Rattus norvegicus: one gene and its partners. The protein of the gene in region 2 purifies or fractionates together with the protein of the main gene of each other region. This does not show direct contact. Links are inferred from orthologs where the notes say so. Each region holds a gene or a part of one and is shown on either strand. Other genes may lie near its edges. The genes, in order: Cep97, Kif24 and Ccp110.

Region 1 (6,474 bases), on a different chromosome or scaffold from region 2:
TGTCTAGTGGAGTAGAAAAGTTACCCCAGAGGAAATGGAGGGGGAGAGGCTAAGAGAGTGACCATTGAGGCTAAGAGAGTGACTTAGAGGAAAGACGTGGGTGGACACATCGGGGAGGCAGTCAGCCTTTAGGAGAGGGGTCTCAGTTACCAAACCTGCCAACCCCTTAATTTGGGGGACTTTCGGAGAAGGAAATAAATGAGAAAAAGAGAAGGAAACTTGTCCATAGTGGTTAGCCAGGGGAGCTATAGTCTGAATTTGTGCTATAGGTGTTTTATTGAGCGCTGCCTGCAACCTTGTGAAATCAAAATCATTTTATTCCATCAATTAACTATACTGTGATTTTCAAAAGTACTTCAAAGTGGCGGGGAGATAGTTTAGTTGGCACAGTGCTCGCTGTACAAGCACGAGGAACCAAGTTCAATCCTCAAACCCAGGTAAAAGACCCAACGTGGTGGCAGGAGCTTATAATCTCAAGTGCTGGGAAGGTGAGTATAGGCAGATTCTTGGGACTTGTTGGCCAACCAGCCTACTCTACTTATGAGCTCCAGGTCAGTGAGAGACCCTGCCTCAAAAAACAAAGTGAGGGCTGTAGAGACGGCTCAGTGGGTAAGAGCGGTTACAGGGACAGCATTCAGACTGGAGTTCAAACCCCCAGAATCCATGGGAAAAGCCCCAGCACCTAGTACTTTGGAGGCTTGCTGACTTCCAGTCTAGCACTAGGCTTTCAGGTTCAGTGAGAGAGTGTGTAAAGAAAGATTTACAGAACAGGACACCCAGCATTCTCCTCTGGCTTCCCTGGGCATGTGTGACATGCACTGACCCCAGTCCCCATATACACAGTGTTGGGCTCTTGAAAATATAGTTAGGTTATAAACATTTTGATTTCTATAAAAAAAAAAGTTTTAGGACCTGGTGCGATGATAGCTTTAATTCCAGTATTTGGGAGTTGAGGGAAAGAAGATCAGGAGTTCAAATTTAGCCTTGGATACATAGAGAGTTTATGCTAGCCTCGCCAGCATCAGACCTTGTCTGAAAACAACAGCAAAAGATAAAACAAAACAAAACAAAAACCCCAAACAACAACAACCAAAACCAATCCAAAACAAAAGATTGAAAGATTAAAAAAAGGGGGAAATAAGCCTTGAGGTGGTGGCACCCGCTTTTGTTATGCCCAGTTCTTGAGAACCCCAGGAGACCGCCAGAGATCAGGACACCACCCATGTAAACACACAAGAGTTCAAAATTGGGATGCAACCTTCCCTGCTTGGCAGGTTAGGAATGGGACGCCCAGGTTTGGGGTTTATATATGGGAAATGCATAGGCTGGGGCTTTCAAGAGGGTGAGGGCTAAAGGAATGCTATCCTTTCAAACTGATAACGTTTGTTCAGACAGCAAGAAGGGACCATACATCTGGAAAAGGACTTTTCTGACGTGGGAAGAAATGATTCATTTCATTATCAGTGACCAGTGTATTTTTACAAGCTGGCTACAGCTTGTCTGGGAGCCCTTGGTTGTCTTTCCCATAGATTAAGAGTGGAGGTCTTATCACTTTAAGGGCATTAATTTTCTGCCTCCTTCAAAGACAGGAGACATCTGCACCAGGGGATTGTGCTGGTTGTTTAAGTCGGTGCTGGGAACTCAGTGCAGAGGCAAGAGTGAGCTGCCGTTTGTCTCTTCACTTTAGTCCCAGCACTAGGGAGAGAGCTGGCAGATCTCTAAGTTTGAGGCCAGCCTGGTCTACAGAACGAGTTCCAGGACAAACAGTGAAACTCCTAGAAACCCTGTCTCAGAAAATTAAAATAAATCCCAGAAAAAAACCCAGAAATCAAAACACCAAATACCTCAAAAGAAACATCAATCCTGTTTTCTGAATGCTTATTATTAAATACTAGAGTGCACTTAGGGCTTGCATGCAAAGGCTCCCAGTAATTCATAAATTTGAAAAAAAAATGTGGCATTAGAGCTCTGGATTATTGTACGTTTAAACTTTTGATACTTCTTGTGCTGTGGTGTAGTTTTAAATGTGTTTACATGTTTTTCCCCTCAGTGTGAAATGCTAAGCTCAGTCCTCAGATTTGCTTTCTAACAAGATGTTTTCTCTTTTCAAGGATCAGTGGTAAACTGGTCAGGGCAGGGACTGCAGAAATTAGGGGCCAACTTGCCCTGTGATGCTGATGTTCACACATTGATTCTGGATAAAAATCAGATTATAAAACTGGAAAATCTGGAGAAATGCAAACAGTTAATACAGGTGAGTATGGGTTATATAAGACTCATTTATTTCTAAACAAATCCAAAAAGTCACACTCTACATGCCTGGAAAGCAGTAAGTGTCGCCTTCAAGTTTTGTATGCTAGCTTCTGAAGGTGAATACATGTGTTACACTTACAATGGACTAGAAAGAGAAGCATTATTAAAAAATGAAAACAGGGCTGGCAAGACAGCTCAGCAGGGGGGCTGGAGAGATGGCTCAGTGGTTAAGAGTACTGACTGCTCTTCCAGAGGTCCTGAGTTCAATTCCCAACAACCACATGGTGGCTCACAGCCATCTGTAATGAGACCTGATGCCCTCTTCTGGTGTGTCTGAAGACAGCTACAGTGTACTTATATATAATAAATAAATAAATCTTAAAAAAAAAAAAAGACACCTCAGCAGGTAGGAGTGCTTATGTAAAGGTCTGAAGACCTAGGTTTGCTCCCTGCCACAGGTAGGAGAGAACTGACCGACTTTTGAGACGATGCCTGTGATGTTTGCATGTGTGCTCTTGCAAATGTCTGTGCATGCATGCGTCTGCATGCTCTTGCTCTCTGTACACATATTTTAAATTTCTTATTTATTTCACTCTTTATAGCTGTATCTTTCTGTATATCTGTATGAATATATGCAACATGAGTATGAGTACATGCAGAGGCCAGAAGAGGAGATCAGATTCTTTGGAGTTGGAGTTAACTACAGATGGTTGTGAGGCACCTGACTTGGTGCTAAGAACTAAACTGATATTCTGGAAGAGCAGCATTTATGTTTGTTTTTTTATTGATTTATTCATTTATTTATTATATATAAGTACACTATAACTGTCTTCAGACACACCAGAAGAGGGCATCAGATCTCATTTTCTACAGATGGTTGTAGAAACCGTGTGGTTGCTGGCATTTGAACTCAGGACCTCTGGAAGAGCAGGCAGTGCTCTTAACCACTGAGCCATCTCTCCAGCCCCACACTTATGTTCTTAACTGCTGAGCCATTCTTCTATTCCCATAAATAAATACATATTTTTTAATATTTATTTATTTTATGTATATGAGTACACTGTAGCTGTATTCAGACACCAGAAGAGGGCATCAGATTTCATTACAGATGGCTGTGAGCCACCATATGGTTGTTGGGAATTGAACTCAGGACCTCTGGAAGAGCAGTCAGTGATCTTAACTGCTGAGCCATCTCTCCAGCCCCATAAATACATATTTTTAAAAGGCACATTATATGTTGATAAAATACTGTGTTAAGGGGTTGGGAATTTAGCTCAGTGGTAGAGTGCTTACCTAGCAACCGCAAGGCCCTGGGTTCGGTCTCCAGCTCCAAAAAAAAAAAAGAAAGAAAGAAAGAAAGAAAGAAACAAACAAACAAAATACTGTGTTAACCTAATTTTAACGTCATATTGGGGTAAAGAGTTTATTCATCCAGGAATGTTGGGCTTGAGGATATACTTGAAGGCCAAGGCTTAGCATACTCAAAGCCCTAAACTACACCTAAACAGAACAAAGGAAAAGGGAGTGCTTATTTGGTTCCTTTTAGTATACCTATCATAGTCCTTGTTTGTGACTGAAATGGTATGACGATAGTATTCATAGAGCTAATATTTTCGAGTTGAATAAAAGATAAGATAAAGAGTATCTTTAGGAGACAGCTCAGTGGGTAAGAACACTGGCTCTGCAAACACACAGCCTTGAATTTGGATCCCCAGCACCCACACTAAAAGCTGGGCACCGATGCATGTAGTATACATTTAACCTGGTCATTGGAGGGGAGAGGCAGGCAGATCCTCAGAGCTGGCTGGCCAGCCAATTTAGCCAAAATGATGAGCCTGCAGTTCAGTAGAGAGTCTGTCTCAAAGCAATAAGGTGGAGAGGGACAGAGGAAGATACCCAAAGTCCTGCTCTAGCCTGTGTATGTATATAGATGGGCATGTGCACCCCCCATACACAAGAATGCAACACATAAACATATACACACACGCATGCAATGACCCCAACATACACCATCCACACACAAGTATCATTAAAAATTGGCAACAGACTTATTAAGCTTTATCTGTATTTTTGAAATATATAAGCATACATTGATTGTGTATGATACTGCGTTTCATTTGTCTGGATATGTATATACATATATTTTTATCATTTTCATCACATTACCCTCTCTTGATTTCTTCCACTCCTTCTAATCCCATTTCTCTTCTCTTCTCTCTTGTTTTTCCGTGTCTTCTTTTTCTCCTCCTCTTTCTTCTCCTTCTCTCCCACCTCTCTTTTTGTGACCAAGTGAATTTCATGAGGAACATGAGTGAGAATCCATTTACGGGAACGTAGACACCTCACCATGGCTACACCCCTTGAAGAAAGTGTCTTTCCCTTCTCTGTCAGCCACTGTCTGTTATTCCTCAGTGATTAATCCTTGGAAGGCATGGCCTTCCAGGCTCCTCTCCACACCTCCAGCTTGTTGAGGAGCTCAGTCTTACGTGCTGCTTTGAGTTCCAGAGTACAGCAGCCATGTGATACTCAGAAAGCACTATCTGTTCCCCGCTTTCCTCCTGCCCTTACATTCTTTCTAACCTTCCACTGCCCTCCTCAATGTTATAGATGTCCCGTTTATGGCTGTGCATTTTAACAGATATTTGTTTCCAGCACTGAGACCAGTTATGAGTCTCTGCAGACACCACCAACTATTGCAAAAGAAGCTTCTCTGAAAACAGCTGACGGCCGCATTGTTCTGTGGGTGTTTATGCAGTCAGTTAGGAGTCTGATTGATAGGTACATTCTGTCCATTAGCAAAAGCCATCAGTAGCTTCTAGGGCTATGCCATCCCCTGCCATGGGCTTTTGACTGGGTTTATATGACCACACATGAATTTCTTGTGGTCAGGCATTAGTTGGTTACCCCATATAACAACAGATATAAATTTATCTATACTTTTGTTGATTAGAACAATAGACTCCAGTAGTTAAGCTGTAGGTGATAGATATGTATACTATGTGTAAACTATAAGTTAGGTTTGTGTATTTGGGAATGTTTGACCATCTACCAGGATGTGTGGAGATATAGATTTTGTTTCTAGGAATAATAATGTTCTCCTTTCACAGTTGTCAGTGGCTAATAATCGCTTGGTTCGGATGATGGGTGTGGCCAAGCTGACTCAACTCCGAGTGTTAAATTTACCTCATAATAGTATTGGCTGCATGGAAGGGCTGAAGGACCTCGTCCATTTGGAGTGGCTGAATTTAGCGGGCAATAATCTGAAGGTGAATGGCTTTCTTCTTGGTAATTATCTTTTGAGATTTTTGTTGTTGCTGTTGTCGTTTTCTGTACATGTTCTCTGGGAAAAAGAAACTTGGCAAGTATAGAAATAAGTAAACTAAAAAGTGAAAGTGTCTACTTCTATAATTGGTATCAACACACACCTTCAAAAGAATCTATATCGTACTCGAAAAAGTAAATAAAATACTAGAATGATGGGGAAGGAGTTACCCGCCACCCCAGCCAAACTTTTAAGTACATTTTTAATGATGAATGGGAAAAAGGTCTGCCACCCAGGAACTGTGTAATTTTGTTTCTTTTTTTGACATTTATTTATTTATTTTAATTTATATGAGTACACTGTAGCTGTTCTCAGACACACCAGAAGAGGGCATAGGATCCCATTACAGATGGTTATGAGCCACCACATGGTTGCTGGGAATTGAACTCAGGTCTCCTGGAAGAGCAGTCAGTGCTCTTAACCACGGAGTCATCACTCCAGCCCTGTAATTTTGGATGTTAATAACCATTGCTATATCTTATTTTCTGGGAAGGGGACTAGAGGGAGTTATAATAATAGTTGCCTTTACTGAGCACCTGCCTTGTGCTATGAACTTTTCTAATCACCTCATCTGTAGTGAGCTCATGCCAGCCAGTGAAGTAGGTATAGTTACTATGCTTATTATACAGGAAGGGGAACTGAGGCCAGAGAAATTAATAACCTATCCCAGCTCATACATCTAAGAAGTTGTAGAGCCCAAAATTTAAAAAAAAAAATCATTCTTAGAGAATTTCATATGATTTAGAGCATATTTTGATCATATTTATCTACCATTCTTTCCCTAAATCTTTTCACTTCTGTCCTCAACTCCTTACCCAACTTGATGTTGTCTTTTTCATTTTAAAACGAACCAACTGAGTCTAATTTATACTGCGCATGTTCCTGGGTGTGGTGTCTGG
Region 2 (6,928 bases):
GAAGAGAAGACTAGGCGAAAAGGCATGTTACATGCTTATTTCCTTCTTAAACATATATATGCATTGGGGCGGGGTACCAGGTTACAGATAATTGTAGAGGCGTCTGGTTTGGGTAACTGGATGGAAGAAGAAGCTAGCCATTTCTTTTTGAAGTGAGTTGAATTTGAAGGGCTATAGACTACCCACAAGATAAACGAAAACTGGGTCTGAAGTTTAGCGACATCTCATTCTTCTATCCCTAAATTGAATATTTTATATTAGAAAAAGATTTGTCTTTATCATAGATATTCCAACAACCCATGTGCTAACTAGTTCTATGTCAACCTGACACAAGCTAGACTCACTGGAGAGGAGGGAGCCTCAGTTTAGAAAATGTTTCTGAGATTGGGCTGTGGGCAAACCTATAGGACACTTTCTTAGTGGTTGATGTGGAAGGGCCCAGCCCACTGTGGGCGGGGCCATCCCTGGCCTGGTGGTCCTGGGTTCTGTAAGAAGGTAGGCCGAGCAAGCCACAAGGAGCAAGCCAGTCAGCAGCCCTCCTTCATGAAGATCCCTGCATCTGCACCTTTCTCCACGTCCCTCCTGTCCTGACTTCTTTTTCTTTTTTCTTTTTTTCGGAGCTGGGGACCGAACCCAGGGCCTTGTGCTCGCTAGGCAAGCGCTCTACCGCTGAGCTAAATCCCCAACCCATGACTTCTTTTGATGATAAACAGAGATAGGATGAGTAAGCCAAATAAACCCTTTCTTCCTCAAGTTGCTCTCGGTCACTGTCTCATCACAGCAGTAGAGACCTTCACTAAGACAAGCCATTTTCATTGAATGTGGGTACATTTGCCTTTCTAACCACCCCTTTTCAATCTGGTATTCCAAATATTTTCACCCTCTTCCAGTTCACAACCATAGGAAACCATAGTTGACACTGCTGTGAAAGAAACTTGGCTACTAAATTCAGGTTGTTACCTGAAAGACACATCATTGCTTGCAAAGTGACTTTAACATCTATTTCTCATTGTTGAGAGTTTAAAATAAAGTGTGTATATACAGAGATACAGAATATACGTCAGTCACTCTTATCTTATAATAAGCCAACTGAATGCTTATCTGCATTTTACAGGCACTCAACTCTTTTTTTTCATATATATATTTTATTTCATATATATATATATTAATGTATGAGTGCTCTGATGCATATATACCTACATGCCAGAAGAGGGCATCAGATCTCATTACAGATGGTTGTGAGCCACCATGTGGTTGCTGGGAATTGAACTCAGGACCTCTGGAAGAGCAGTCAGTGCTCTTAACCACCGAGCTATCTCTCCAGCCCTCAACTCTTATTAATAGTTAAAATTAAGAATTTTGCCCCCTCTGTGTAACAGTCCTGTATATCCTGGAACTTACGTTTTAGACCACGCAGTCCTAAAACTCACAAGAGATCCTCCTGCCTCTGCTCCCGAATGCTGAGACTAAAGGCATGCGCTGCCACACGCAGCAAATCAAGAAATGTCTATCATTTTTATATTTTCTGTGAAACAGCTGATAAACAGCGCTCACGATAATTATTAGTAATTTTTAAAGATCAACAAGATTAATTCCTTTTACTATATTGTCTATTTTCTACTCTTTTGAATTCTGAATTTATTTCTTAGTAAGAATTATCTTTATTCTCTGATTAGTGATTTATTTTTGTTTATGTCTGTGTGTCTGCCAGTTGTGTGTATGTGGGTGCCTGAGGAGAGCCAGGGATCACCTGGAGCAGGAGTCAGAAGCAATTGTGAGCCACTTGACATGGGTGCTGGGAAATGAACTCAAAGTTCTCTGGAAGAGAAGCAAGGGCTCATAACCACTGAACCATCTCTCCAGCCCCCGAATGGTTAATTTTTGAGCTAAAATGAGCACTATGTTAAAGCACACACGAAGCTGCACACATCCTGGCTAGTGTACTTGCTCCCACCATGCTGGTGGTACCTTTTTACCTGAGAAGCTAGGACCTGCCAAGCATTCTTTTCACTTTGTCTTCTTTACAACCTGTTGACGCATTACTATCATTTTTCAGAAAAGCGAAAATGAGCTATGGTTCAGAAATATTTTGGGGTAGTTAATCAAACGCAGGCATGTCCAATTTCTAAGCTTAATCGCCACTGGATATGATGCATTTTGCGTTGGCAACTTGACGGTTCTCGATTTAAGCTGTTTGGCCTTTTTTCCCCCCTTTAGAGCACCTGCCACTCTTCCAAAGGACTGGGGTTCGGTTCCCAGGAACCTAAAGCAGGTGGCTCACAACCGCGTTTAACTCGAATTTCTGGGATCCGACGCCTTCTGGCTTCTGCATGAACGTGGGACGCATAACTGACGCAGACAGACAGACACACACATACACACACAAACAAACAAGGAAAGTTTTTTTGTTTTTTTTGTTTTGTTTTGTTTTGTTTTTTACAAAACGTAAGATCTCTTGGAATGCAGGTAGGGTTTAATCGATAACTACGAAGCAGTACAGAGGCCTAGGGAGAAGGTATGATTGGCCCGCTAAGTCCCAAAGCTGGACCTCTCTGCCTCTGGAATTCTTCCGACGCACGCCATCACCACTAAACCTTGTTCTCTCAGGTGCAGAGAGATAAACCGAGGTCCTGCGAGTGGATAGGGCCTGCCTGGCCTGCCTACACCCGCCTCAATGCCAGCTCCGTTCCCGCAGCAACAGATCAAGAGCACACGACATTCCCCACGCCCCCAGCCCCACTGCACTCACCCGCAGCACGAAGGCAGGAGGCAGGAGGCGGTTCTCGAAAGGAGACAAAGCGCGCCAGCCAATCAGAAGAGCCCGGCTGCACTTCAGGCGAGCCACGGGATTGGGCATCAGGCGCTGCCACCCGCCTCTGAGGCGCGGTTTTCTGACTGGGAACGTCGCGAGATCTTCCCCAAGCGGAACCATTGGACCGCCCCTGTCTCTTCTGATCTCTGATTGGCCCTTTAGAGGAGAGGGTGATAGGCCCTGTGAATGACCATTGGCGGGTTCTGCGGGACCGCAGGCGGGCGGGCGACAGCGCGCGCGTTCGAACTGGCGCTTGGTGGCGTTGCCATAGAGATGTGGCCTGGCGGACTCCTTAGGCGGGTTGACGGGACGCTCTGCTAGCCCGGCTTAGGGCTTTCTCCTGACGGCACTAATTCTTCCGTCCTCCGAGAAACTGACTGAGGAGGAGCCGGGAAGGCCCTGAGGTGAGACACGGTGGCTTTGGCTTGAGCCCAAGCCCTGCGCCTGCGAGGGAAAGGGTGCGCTTGTCTCAGAGTAGCGTGTGTCGAGACCGGTATTTGCCGGGTAACTAGAGCTTGGCTTCTCGGATTCTTCGAGGGTTCACGCACTCTCCTATTTCGTCTCCCCGTCTGCGGTTTCTCCAGCAGTTACCTCGAACGCCACCATTCTTGAGGCCTTTCTGAATCCCCAAAGGCCCCTTGCCTTTGAAACATGCTCTTCAGAGCTAGCCTGAATTCGACTTTGGGTTGTTTTTGTGAACTTCCGGAAACCTCATTCTTCTTTTCCTCATTTAATTTTGACCTCTGAGATAAGACAAGCCTTTCCGCAATGCCTTACGCATAGTAGTTTTTTTTTTTTTTAAAGGAAAGTTCAGTTGGCTTTAACTCACTACGAATAGAATCGATTATCTTTTGTGTCTTGTTCTATTCAAACAATTTGGGAGCAGGTGGAAGAGAGGACACCCTAATCTCATATACAAAAAAGCTAGAAAATTCAGCGTTGGCAGCCCCACAATCGGAGCAGGAAGCCCTGCTTGCTTACTGTGGATGACAGTATTCTCTAGGCTGGGAATTCTGGACAGTAGTAAGAGTAGAGAAGGCGAGCTGACCACTAGCATACTGACATTAATTCATTGTTTACTGCTTTTATTATTTTAATTTTTGTGTGTGGGGTTATTTGTTTGGAGACAAAGTTAGATGTGACTATCCTGGAACTCTATGTTTAGAAAGGTAAAATTGTAACTTGGTTGCTACACCTCTTCCCCACATTGTAGTCTGGCCTAAAAATACCTCTTATCAGACCCCTAAATATATTTGCTTAAAACAGACCATTCTGTTGTTATATGCCAGTGTTATTTAGTGACCTCCAACTATCGTCACATTTTATCTGTGCTTTGGAAAATGAAATCAGTTATTTGACTTTGAGGGTTTTTTTTTTCCACTTAGCATTGTGTGTGTGTGTGTGTGTGTGTGTGTGTGTGTGTGTGTGTGTGAGAGAGAGAGAGAGAGGGGGGGGGGGAGAGAGAGAGAGAGAGAGAGAGAGAGAGAGAGAATATCTCATTCATGAGATTCATGAGCACGCAGCTTGTTTAGGCTGCTGCACTGCATATTCCAGGATATTTCTGTAACCCCCTCCCCCACTTCTCCCTAGGAGTGCTGGGGTTACAGATGTGTGATACCACATGTGACCTTTAATGGGGTTCTAGGCATTGAACTTAGATCATTAGGCTTATAGGTTTTGTGCATTTACCTACCAAGGTATTTCCTTGGCCTTGGCTTTTTTTTTTTTATAAATGTTATGTGTATGAGTGTTTTGCCTGTATTTATGTATACCTTGTGTGTGTGTGGTATGAAGGAAGCCAAAAGAGGGTTGGGTTCCCTGCAAGTGTAGATATAGACAGTTGTGAGACACCATGTGGGTGCTGGGAAAAGAACCCAGGTCCTTTGAAAGAACAGCCAGTGCTCTTAAAGGCTAAGCCATCTCTCCAGCTCCATTTTTTAAAAAAACTTTTTTGGGGATAGCATTTTACATTGTAGGAACATGCAATAATAATCCTGTTTCAGCTTCCTGAGTGCTGGAATTATAAATATAAGCCAACACACTCACTTTGGAAAATTTTTAAAACCTTTTATTATTTGTTTTATTTGTTGTTGTGTGTCTGTGTATGAACAGAGGATGGCTTTTGGGGAGTAGGTTCTCCTTTCCAGATTTATTTGGGTCATCAGACTTGGCAGAAAGTGCCTTTATCTGTTGAGCCCTCTTGCCTGCCTTTAAGACATTTTTTCTTTGCATTTATATTCTGCAGAGACAATTTTGTGACCATTCTCTTCAGAACATATTAACAGCTCAGCCTCTGACCATTCATCAGATATCCAGAATCCTGCTTCATTTCCAAGACTATTTCATTGTTGACTTGTGGCCTGTACAGTCACAATATTATTGCTGATTATTCTTTCTTATATGAAATTCATAGTTCAGAGTTAACATTAATGAAAAGATTCAAAATGTTGCCAGGCAGTAGTGGCTCATGCCTTTAATCCCAGCGCTTGAGAGGCAGAGGCAGGCAGATCTTGGATTTCAAGGCCAACCTGGTCTACAGAGTGAGTTCTAGGACAGCCAGGGATACACAGAGAAACCTTGCCTCAAACAACAAAATGTCAAGTATAGCAGCTGTTGTGATTTAGATATTGTGATGTTTAATGCTAATTGTCAACTTGACAAAACAGAACCACGTGGGAAAAACTGATGTCTGTGGAAGATTGACTTGTATTAACTGAGGTGGGAAGACCTGCTCACTGTGGATGTCCTAGGCAGGGGATTCTGGACAGTCTAAGAGTGGAGAAAGCAAGCTGATCACTACTGTCTTAAGTTAGGGTTTACTGCTGTGAGCAGACACCATGACAAAGGCAACTCTTACAAGGACAGCTGGCTCACAGGTTCAGAGGTTCAGTCCATTATCATCAAGGCAGGAGCATGGCAGCATCCAGGCAGACATGGTGCAGGAGGAGCTGAGAGGTTGGTATTTTGTTTTCTGTATAATGAAGGGTTGAATTTTTCTCATATTTCTTCATCTAGTGTCTATGAGGTATTTACCTAGTTTCTCCATGTAGACTTAGCAAATTTGTTCAAACTTTGTGTACTGTAGGTTAACAAGTTTTGTTAAGTGAGGCTGGGAATGTGGTAGTGCACACCTTTAATCCCAGCACTCTGGAGACAGGCTGGGATTAAAGGTGTGCACTAATAATCTCTGTGTTCAAGGCCAATTTGGCTTATATAGTGAGTTCCAGGCCATTAGGGCTACATAAGACCCTGTGTTAAAACACAAACACACACATAAACTCACTATGTGGACTGGCCTTGAATTTACAGATATCTGCCTACCTGTACCTCTGGACTACTGGGACTAAAGATGTGCACTACCACTCCCGACTGAGGTTATTTTTAAATTATGCTTTCTCAGCATCATCCCTGTGTGAGTAATGCCTGATTCCATAGGAACAACTGTTTCCAAAGGAGTTTGACTATGACTGAAATCATAGTAGCTTGGAAATTTATTTGTTTGTTTATTTTGGCTTTTCAAGACATGTTTCTCTGTTAGCCCTGGCAGTCCTGGAACTTAACATTATAGACCAGGCTTGCCTCAAACATACATTCATCTGCCTCTGCCTCCTGAGTGTGTGCACCACTACTGCCCAGCCAGCTTGGGAATTTATAAAGACTGATTGTAGCCATTATTTTTCTAGGTAAACACATGAGATATGGTTTGTTGACATGGTTTTATGGCTGCAAACTGGCAAAAAAATCTTTAAGTGACAACTTCCTGAGATTGAACTAAACTAAAATTTTAAAAATAAAAATAAACCACTGCATTTAAACCCAACATTGGTTGCTACTTGTCCCTATATTAAACCTTAGTATTTAGAATAGTAGGCCTGTGTTGACTTAAGATGACTGGGTTCAGCAATTTTGTTAGATTTATTTTTAGGTGATTAACATGAAACTAACTTTTTTTAAATTTGCAAACAATCTCAAAGGTCTTTTTTCTTTCTTTCTTTCTTTCTTTCTTTCTTTCTTTCTTTCTTTCTTTCTTTCTTTCTTTCTTTCTTTCTGTTTAAAGTAATATGGCAGTAATAGTGTCCAGAATCCACCACCCCTAACCGTAGGAATTCCATTGAG
Region 3 (6,474 bases), on a different chromosome or scaffold from region 2:
AAGTTGCCAGTCTCGGAATTCTCTTCATTCTGCTAGTCTTGCTTTGCATTGCTTGATCTGTTTGCCCTAATTAATTTATTCAGTAATTGTATTAGGCGCCTGCTGTGTGCTGACACCATTCTGTGCCATGGGACTCAGTGAGCAAGACTGAGAAGGACCTGTTCTATGGAGCTTACGCTTCGGTGGGAGAAGACACACAAAACTCACGGCAGTACAGGAGGCCATTTCAGATAGTGGTAAGTACTGTGGAAACTGGGAAATGTCAGAGGGGTATGATAGTGATGCAGGCGGGGGAATTAGGATGGGGTGATTAGAGAGCGCCTCTTTGAGGACAGGACATGTAAGCTGAAACTTAAGGCTAGGAAGATCCAGTCATGCTCTAGACCATCTGGAGCTTTCTCCAGTCTCACATGAGCACCGGAGTTTCAATGTCCAGTTCATTGTCGTGCTGTGCGTTACCTCTGTTGTGGACTTTGCAGTGTCTAGCGGTATGCGTGGCCCGCTCAAGTGAAGCGGATAATTTCCTGCAACAATGAGACCTTTCTCTACGATGCTGTTAGAAGAAAAGTAGAACTAATGAAGGCAGTTTATGGCCTTTTCTCTCCCAGACTTTTGAGTTTCTTTCTTTTTTGTGCACAAGCACAGAAATTATATAACATCATTTTTAATAGTAAATACAAAAGATGTATTTTTTTTCTTTCTTTTCTTTTTGTTTTCGGAGCTGGGGACCGAACCCAGGGCCTTGTGCTTGCTAGGCAAGCGCTCTACCACTGAGCTAAACCCCCAACCCCAAGATGTATTTTTAAAAAGTAGCAGAAATGGATTTATTGAGATTTTTCTTCTCATCTTTTGGCAATTTTGGTTAAGATACTGTGATGTGAGTTGTTACAGTTGTGCCAGAAAGTGTTTTGTTGCTTCTTAGTCTTGTGTTTAAAAAGTGAATGTCAGCTTCAAAACGATCTCAGCTCTGGAGAGAACCAGTTATTTATTTATTTATTTTTTTAAAGATTTATTTATTTTAGTTACATGAGTACTCTGTAGCTATCTTCAGACACATCAGAAGAGGGCATCGGATCCAATTACAGATGGCTGTGAGCCACCATGTGGTTGCTGGGAATTGAACTCAGGACCTCTGGAAGAGCAGTCAGTGCTCTTAACCGCTGAGCCATCTCTCCAGCCCTTTTTTAATTTTTTTTTTTTTTCCGGAGCTGGGGACCGAACCCAGGGCCTTGTGCTTGCTAGTCAAGTGCTCTACCGCTGAGCTAAATCCCCAACCCCCAGAACCAGTTATTTTTTGAAGTTGGATCTTACTGTGCACAAATTGAACAAATATAAGCCACAGAACAGAGAGAAGTTCTGTGGCTCAGCACTGAGGGCTCTTTCTTCATTTCTATCTGTACTTTGGCTTTCCCTTGAAATTTGAATTTATGGATTGTATAACTGTCTTAGAGGCCCAGCAGGCCACCATGTCAGGCCACCATGTCTTATTTCATGTCTGTACAGCTCACCCACATCGTGGGCTTAATTTCCCTCTTCAGTCTTGTTAACTAGTTACTTGCCTTGAATATTTAAGGGATGTTACTGTACTGGACGCTCTCTTCCCACAGTTAACTGGGCCCCTGGCTTGCTATGATTATGATAATGTTCCTTTTGCTATTTTCCCTTGTCTTACAGGAGCAAGGGCTGTACAATGTTATGCAAAACAGGCAATCAGTAAATACTTAGCACATGCTAAAAAGAAGGCTTAGGCTGGCTAATCTTTCTGGTTACCTGGAATTTTCATAATCCCAAAGTTTTCTAGAAATTATGAAATTGCTGGGCTGGTTGTTTGAAGTTGCTTAGTGACCTTTCAGGCTTTCGACTATAAAATAAAGCTAATTAAGAAGATCTCCAGAACTGGGAGATTTTCTGTTTTCACGTCTGCCTAAGTCAGCTGGTATCCACAGCATTAAAACAAAGCCTTCAGATGCAGACAGAAAATTCTTGAAAGTGTTTAAATATTCCAGTACTCTTGGGTAATAACTTGTGTTTTGTCAGCACACTACTAAGAGCAGTTTTCTTTCTCCTAGTGTGTGGTGGGAACATGGAGGAATATGAGAAGTTCTGCGAGAAAGCGCTTGCCCGAGCTCAGGAAGCATCACTGTCCACAGACAGCTTCCTGCCCGCCCAGGCAGAAAGTGTCTCACTCATCCGTTTCCATGGGGTGGCTGTACTTTCTCCACTGGTAAACTTAGTAATTATTTATGAAATATTTCTTCCATTCTTAATCATGTGTACACATGGGTATAGGTGCTGGAAGAGGCTACACGAGTGCTTCAGACCCCCTGGAACTGGAGTAACAGACCACAGAGGAGCTTTGAACTAAGCTTTGGTCCTCTGGAGAGCACTATACTTGAAACTGGAGTCATTTTTCCAGCTCCCTTGTTTGTTTTAAAATAACTTTTAAAATCTAGTGAACAACTAATACAGCTCACTTAAGATCAAATGGAAGATTTATAAGCAACTGATGAGATGCCTGATGTTTTTCATAATTAGAAATACAATAGAAACGAGTTAGCATTTTTTTGCCTACTAGATTTGCAACGGTCTCCTAGGACTTTGTGTTTTCATGTTGTGAGGAAAATGAATGTTTAATGTACTTTTATCAAGAAGGTCTGTTTATTTTTTGGCAAGCTGTTTGGTAGTGTTCATCAAAATTTAAGTGTTTGTAACTCTTGACTCAGCAATTCTATTCAGGAAGAATAGCTTACAAATGTGTTCAAATAAATGTGTGTAAGTTATAGCATCATCACTTAAAGTAGCAAATGATTAGTGGGTGTGCTGCCTTTAATTTTAGCACTTGGGAGGCAGATCTCTGTGAGTTTGAGGCCAGCCTGGTTTACAAAGTGAGTTCCAGGACAGCCAGGGCTGTTACACAGAGAAACCCTGTCTGGAAAACAAAAAAGAAAATATAATAGTAAAAGAGATGAATTACCAACCCAAGTGTCCATTAATAATGGACTTTAGCTATGTCCATTGTACACATTTCATGTACCCATGCAAGTGAATAAGGTAGCTCTATAGTACGAGCATGGAAGGCTGCCCTGCCCTGCCTCACATCACACAGTGAGATTTCAGAGGCAGCTGGGAGTGTGGAACCTCGGCCTGGCTTTCAGTCAGTTTGCCGTTGTCCTGCTGTGCAGAGCTTGTGGTCTGTTTCGTTAACTGTTAGAATGGAATGCAGACAGTGAGTGTCGATAATGCTTAGATTGCTTTTCAGGAATTACACGGATAATGTAAGATGCTTAGGCTCGTGCCTGGGTCATAGGTGGCACTCGGGGTATACACATGTTCACCATTTACAGTTTTTAAAAGAGAGTGGTATTGTTCTGGCAAGGGGTAAGAGAATAGAGGACAGTAGAGAAGATACATTTATCATCATACTCAATTTGATGTTATTTTTTAAGTGTGACTATATTTTAAACCAGAAAGTTAGAGAACTCTTAAATTTATTTTTGTTGTGTAAGCATTAAAAGGTCCACGTTTTCTGCCAGCACATTGTAATGAATGTTGTAGCAGTGTTTGGAAGGTAACACAGTACCACCCATCCCCCACCACTCAGTTCACTCTAAGGTGACATCTTTGGACACATCCTAAAGGATGTAGAGAAGTGACGTGTAGTGATAAAGATAGAAGCTGGAGACTGGGGTGAGGCTCACGTTAACCACTATCAGGTAAAAACTTCAGTAGCAGCAGCTCCTGAAGTCCTTTTGTCTGCCATTTAGTATTTGAGACATGACCTTGATGCAGTTGGCAGTGAGCTAGATTCAGTGATATGCAATGGTCATGTGTGATAGCTCCTGGAATCTTCATAATAGGTTACTTCTGCATGACACTCACTCACATGGAGTCCTCGAACCCCAGACACTGCTCAGATTCTTCATACACGGTTTTGGTTGTTCTGATTAAAAACTGGCCAATTTTATTCTTTTACCATTGAATTGCGTGTTTATGGTGTCTTGCAGCTTACCATTGAGAAGAGAGAGAAAATTCAACAGGAAAAGCAGAAAGCACTTGATGTGCAAACAAGAAAGCAGGCCAATAGGAAGAAAGCCTTACTGACGCGTGTCCAGGAAATTCTTGAAAATGTTCAGGTGTGTCATCAAACTAAACTCTTCTAGATTGAAATGATGATATCAGAAGTAAACACTGATAACAGCTTTGCAGAAAAGCTGGCTACGTGTGCTTATTGTTATGATGTGTTTGAGTATAATTTGTTGGAGAGAATCCATTTGTTTGCTAGTACTGCCCAGTACTTGAATCAGAGAGGGTCCTTAGACAGTAGCACTATACACTGGATATAATTGCTTATTGTCTGCCTCGTGACTACAAACTGAATTCTCAGTGTCAGAGATGATAGAATTGTCCATTGTAGTTAACCCCTGAACTAATCAGACTCAGTTTCTGATGTGAGCCTCATCCCAGCCTCCAGCTTCTACCCTCATCACTACATGTCACTTCTCTACATCCTTTAGGATGTGTCCAAAGATGTCACCTTAGAGTGGACTGAGTGGTGAGGGATGGGTGGTACTGTGTTACCGTCTTCTTATTCTCTGCTAAAGTAAATAACTGCCTTCAAATGTGTGTATGTATGTATGTATGTGTGTATACATGTATGAAAATTTTGTTTTTAGGTGTTGAAAAATGCCATCTAGATTAAACAAAGAGGCTGGACTACATAGGTCTCCAGATTGAAACTGAAATCATTTAAACAACTATATCTATACCTTTTGTAATCATTTTATTTAAATTAATTCAGATTTGTGTAAACAGTTTGTTTATGGTTTGGGTCATTTCATACTAAAAAGAAACACCAATGGTTTAAGTGGGAAAAATAATTTCTGCCATGCATAACACTTGTGCTTTTTTGTAATTTGAAGGGCTTGTAGTTTGCCTGTGTGACTCCTGCTGTGTGGCTATGGGTAGTAAGCCTTAGGGTATTTGTAGTAACTGCTGCCTTCATTTACCTGTAGGGTCTTATGTAGTGTGGGTGTAGATTTTAATTTGCACATTTTAACTAATGTCTATATTGGTTAATACACCGTAGTTTATTGACTTACTGGTTACTACAACAAAAATGGCAGTGTTCTGGATCTAGTCCATGGAGAGGATCAAATTGCTATTAGCAGAGTCTACTAATGAAATTACTCTTGAGTCTCAGAACTTTCTGTTTAGGAAAGCATACATAATTCAGCTATAAGAATTCCTTATATAGACAGGGATTTCATGGACTACAGATATTTAGAGGGCCTCTTTCCTCTATGATATCTTTGACTCAGTTATAGACTTAAGTTTTTAAATTTAGTTTGTCTAACCGAAGGCACATTTTACTTGTGTACTACAAACATAGCTATTGAGTATTAAAGATGTGAATATGTAAGATTCTACAGCAGAATGATCTAGATCGCTTAAGCCTGGGAGCATGTCCATGGACCCTAGGAGTATGCACTCCTTTTGGCTTATTTTCATCCAGAGGTTGTCACCAAGTACACTTGTATTGTTTATGGCACAGTACCTGGAGACCATTATGTGCCTTGGGACTTATATGGTGAAACTCAAGTGCCATATAGTCTAGCAAAACAAAACAAAACAAAGCAAAAGCCTATGAAAACAACCCCTCCAGATGTTTTGTATTCAGGATGTAATGAGCTCTCACTTTTTCCTGCTCGGTCTCTGAGGCACACAGGTATTCTCACCCTACTGTGTCAGCTGCTGACCTACTTGTCTGAAAACATACAGCTTGCTGTCTTAACTGACTCTCACTGCTCTGATTAAAGTTGGCTTTGTAAGCTGAGTTCTAAGTTGAAATTTTCTAATTTTTAGTAACATAAACCACAGGAAGAACTATTGTTTACTCCAGAAATGCCCCGTCTTATGGGGAGGATTGTTTTTAAGTCAGCACATTTTCTTTTTCCAGTTGGTAGACACAGAGGGTTCACAGAAAGATCCTCTGCAAAGTAGAGACAAGGTGGTCGTCTCAGGGAGCTATAGCTCTTCAAAGATTTTTGTTTGTTTGTTTTGATTTGTTTTTGAGTCGGGGTAGCCTTGGTTGCCCTTGAATTTATAGAATTCTAACTGCTGCCTCTGCCTGGAGTTCTGGAATTAAAGGTGTGTCTACTACACCCAGCTAAAACTTTAAAAAGGTCTCAATTTTATACTTTGCTTGTATGTATGTCTGTGCATCGTGTGTGTGTCTGGTGCCTGGGCAGGTCAGAAGAGAGCATTAGGTCTTTAAGAACTGATGTTAAGAAATCGTGCACTGCATTGCATGTGCTGGGAGAATGAAGCTTGGTGCCCTTGTAAGAGCAGCAAGTGTCTTAACTGATGAGCCATCTCCACAGCCCCTCATAGGGAGTTCTCAAGAGGTTCTTAAATAAGCATATGGAAGGCAGGAGTCTTACTGATGTCTTAAACAGGTTGTCTTTGTTTTCTAAG

Evidence for each region.
Region 1: the proteins of Kif24 (region 2) and Cep97 purify together in Homo sapiens (co-immunoprecipitation; 4 studies listed by BioGRID and IntAct, with this or other methods). This does not show direct contact. The link is inferred for Rattus norvegicus from reciprocal best matches to the Homo sapiens genes KIF24 and CEP97.
Region 3: the proteins of Kif24 (region 2) and Ccp110 purify together in Homo sapiens (co-immunoprecipitation; 4 studies listed by BioGRID and IntAct, with this or other methods). This does not show direct contact. The link is inferred for Rattus norvegicus from reciprocal best matches to the Homo sapiens genes KIF24 and CCP110.

The regions. Positions count from the first base shown.
Region 1 is NC_086029.1:58,154,250-58,160,723, forward strand, and holds part of Cep97 (centrosomal protein of 97 kDa), read left to right. Parts: intron 1-2,111; coding exon 2,112-2,254; intron 2,255-5,360; coding exon 5,361-5,519; exon of another isoform or gene 5,520-5,523; coding exon of another isoform or gene 5,524-5,538; intron 5,539-6,474. UniProt on the Homo sapiens protein: Acts as a key negative regulator of ciliogenesis in collaboration with CCP110 by capping the mother centriole thereby preventing cilia formation. Required for recruitment of CCP110 to the centrosome.
Region 2 is NC_086023.1:61,420,033-61,426,960, reverse strand, and holds the start of Kif24 (kinesin-like protein KIF24), read left to right. Parts: upstream 1-3,078; 5' UTR 3,079-3,216; intron 3,217-6,928. UniProt on the Homo sapiens protein: Microtubule-dependent motor protein that acts as a negative regulator of ciliogenesis by mediating recruitment of CCP110 to mother centriole in cycling cells, leading to restrict nucleation of cilia at centrioles.
Region 3 is NC_086019.1:182,477,905-182,484,378, forward strand, and holds part of Ccp110 (centriolar coiled-coil protein of 110 kDa), read left to right. Parts: intron 1-83; exon of another isoform or gene 84-95; 5' UTR 96-236; intron 237-2,069; 5' UTR 2,070-2,083; coding exon 2,084-2,224; intron 2,225-4,004; coding exon 4,005-4,133; intron 4,134-6,474.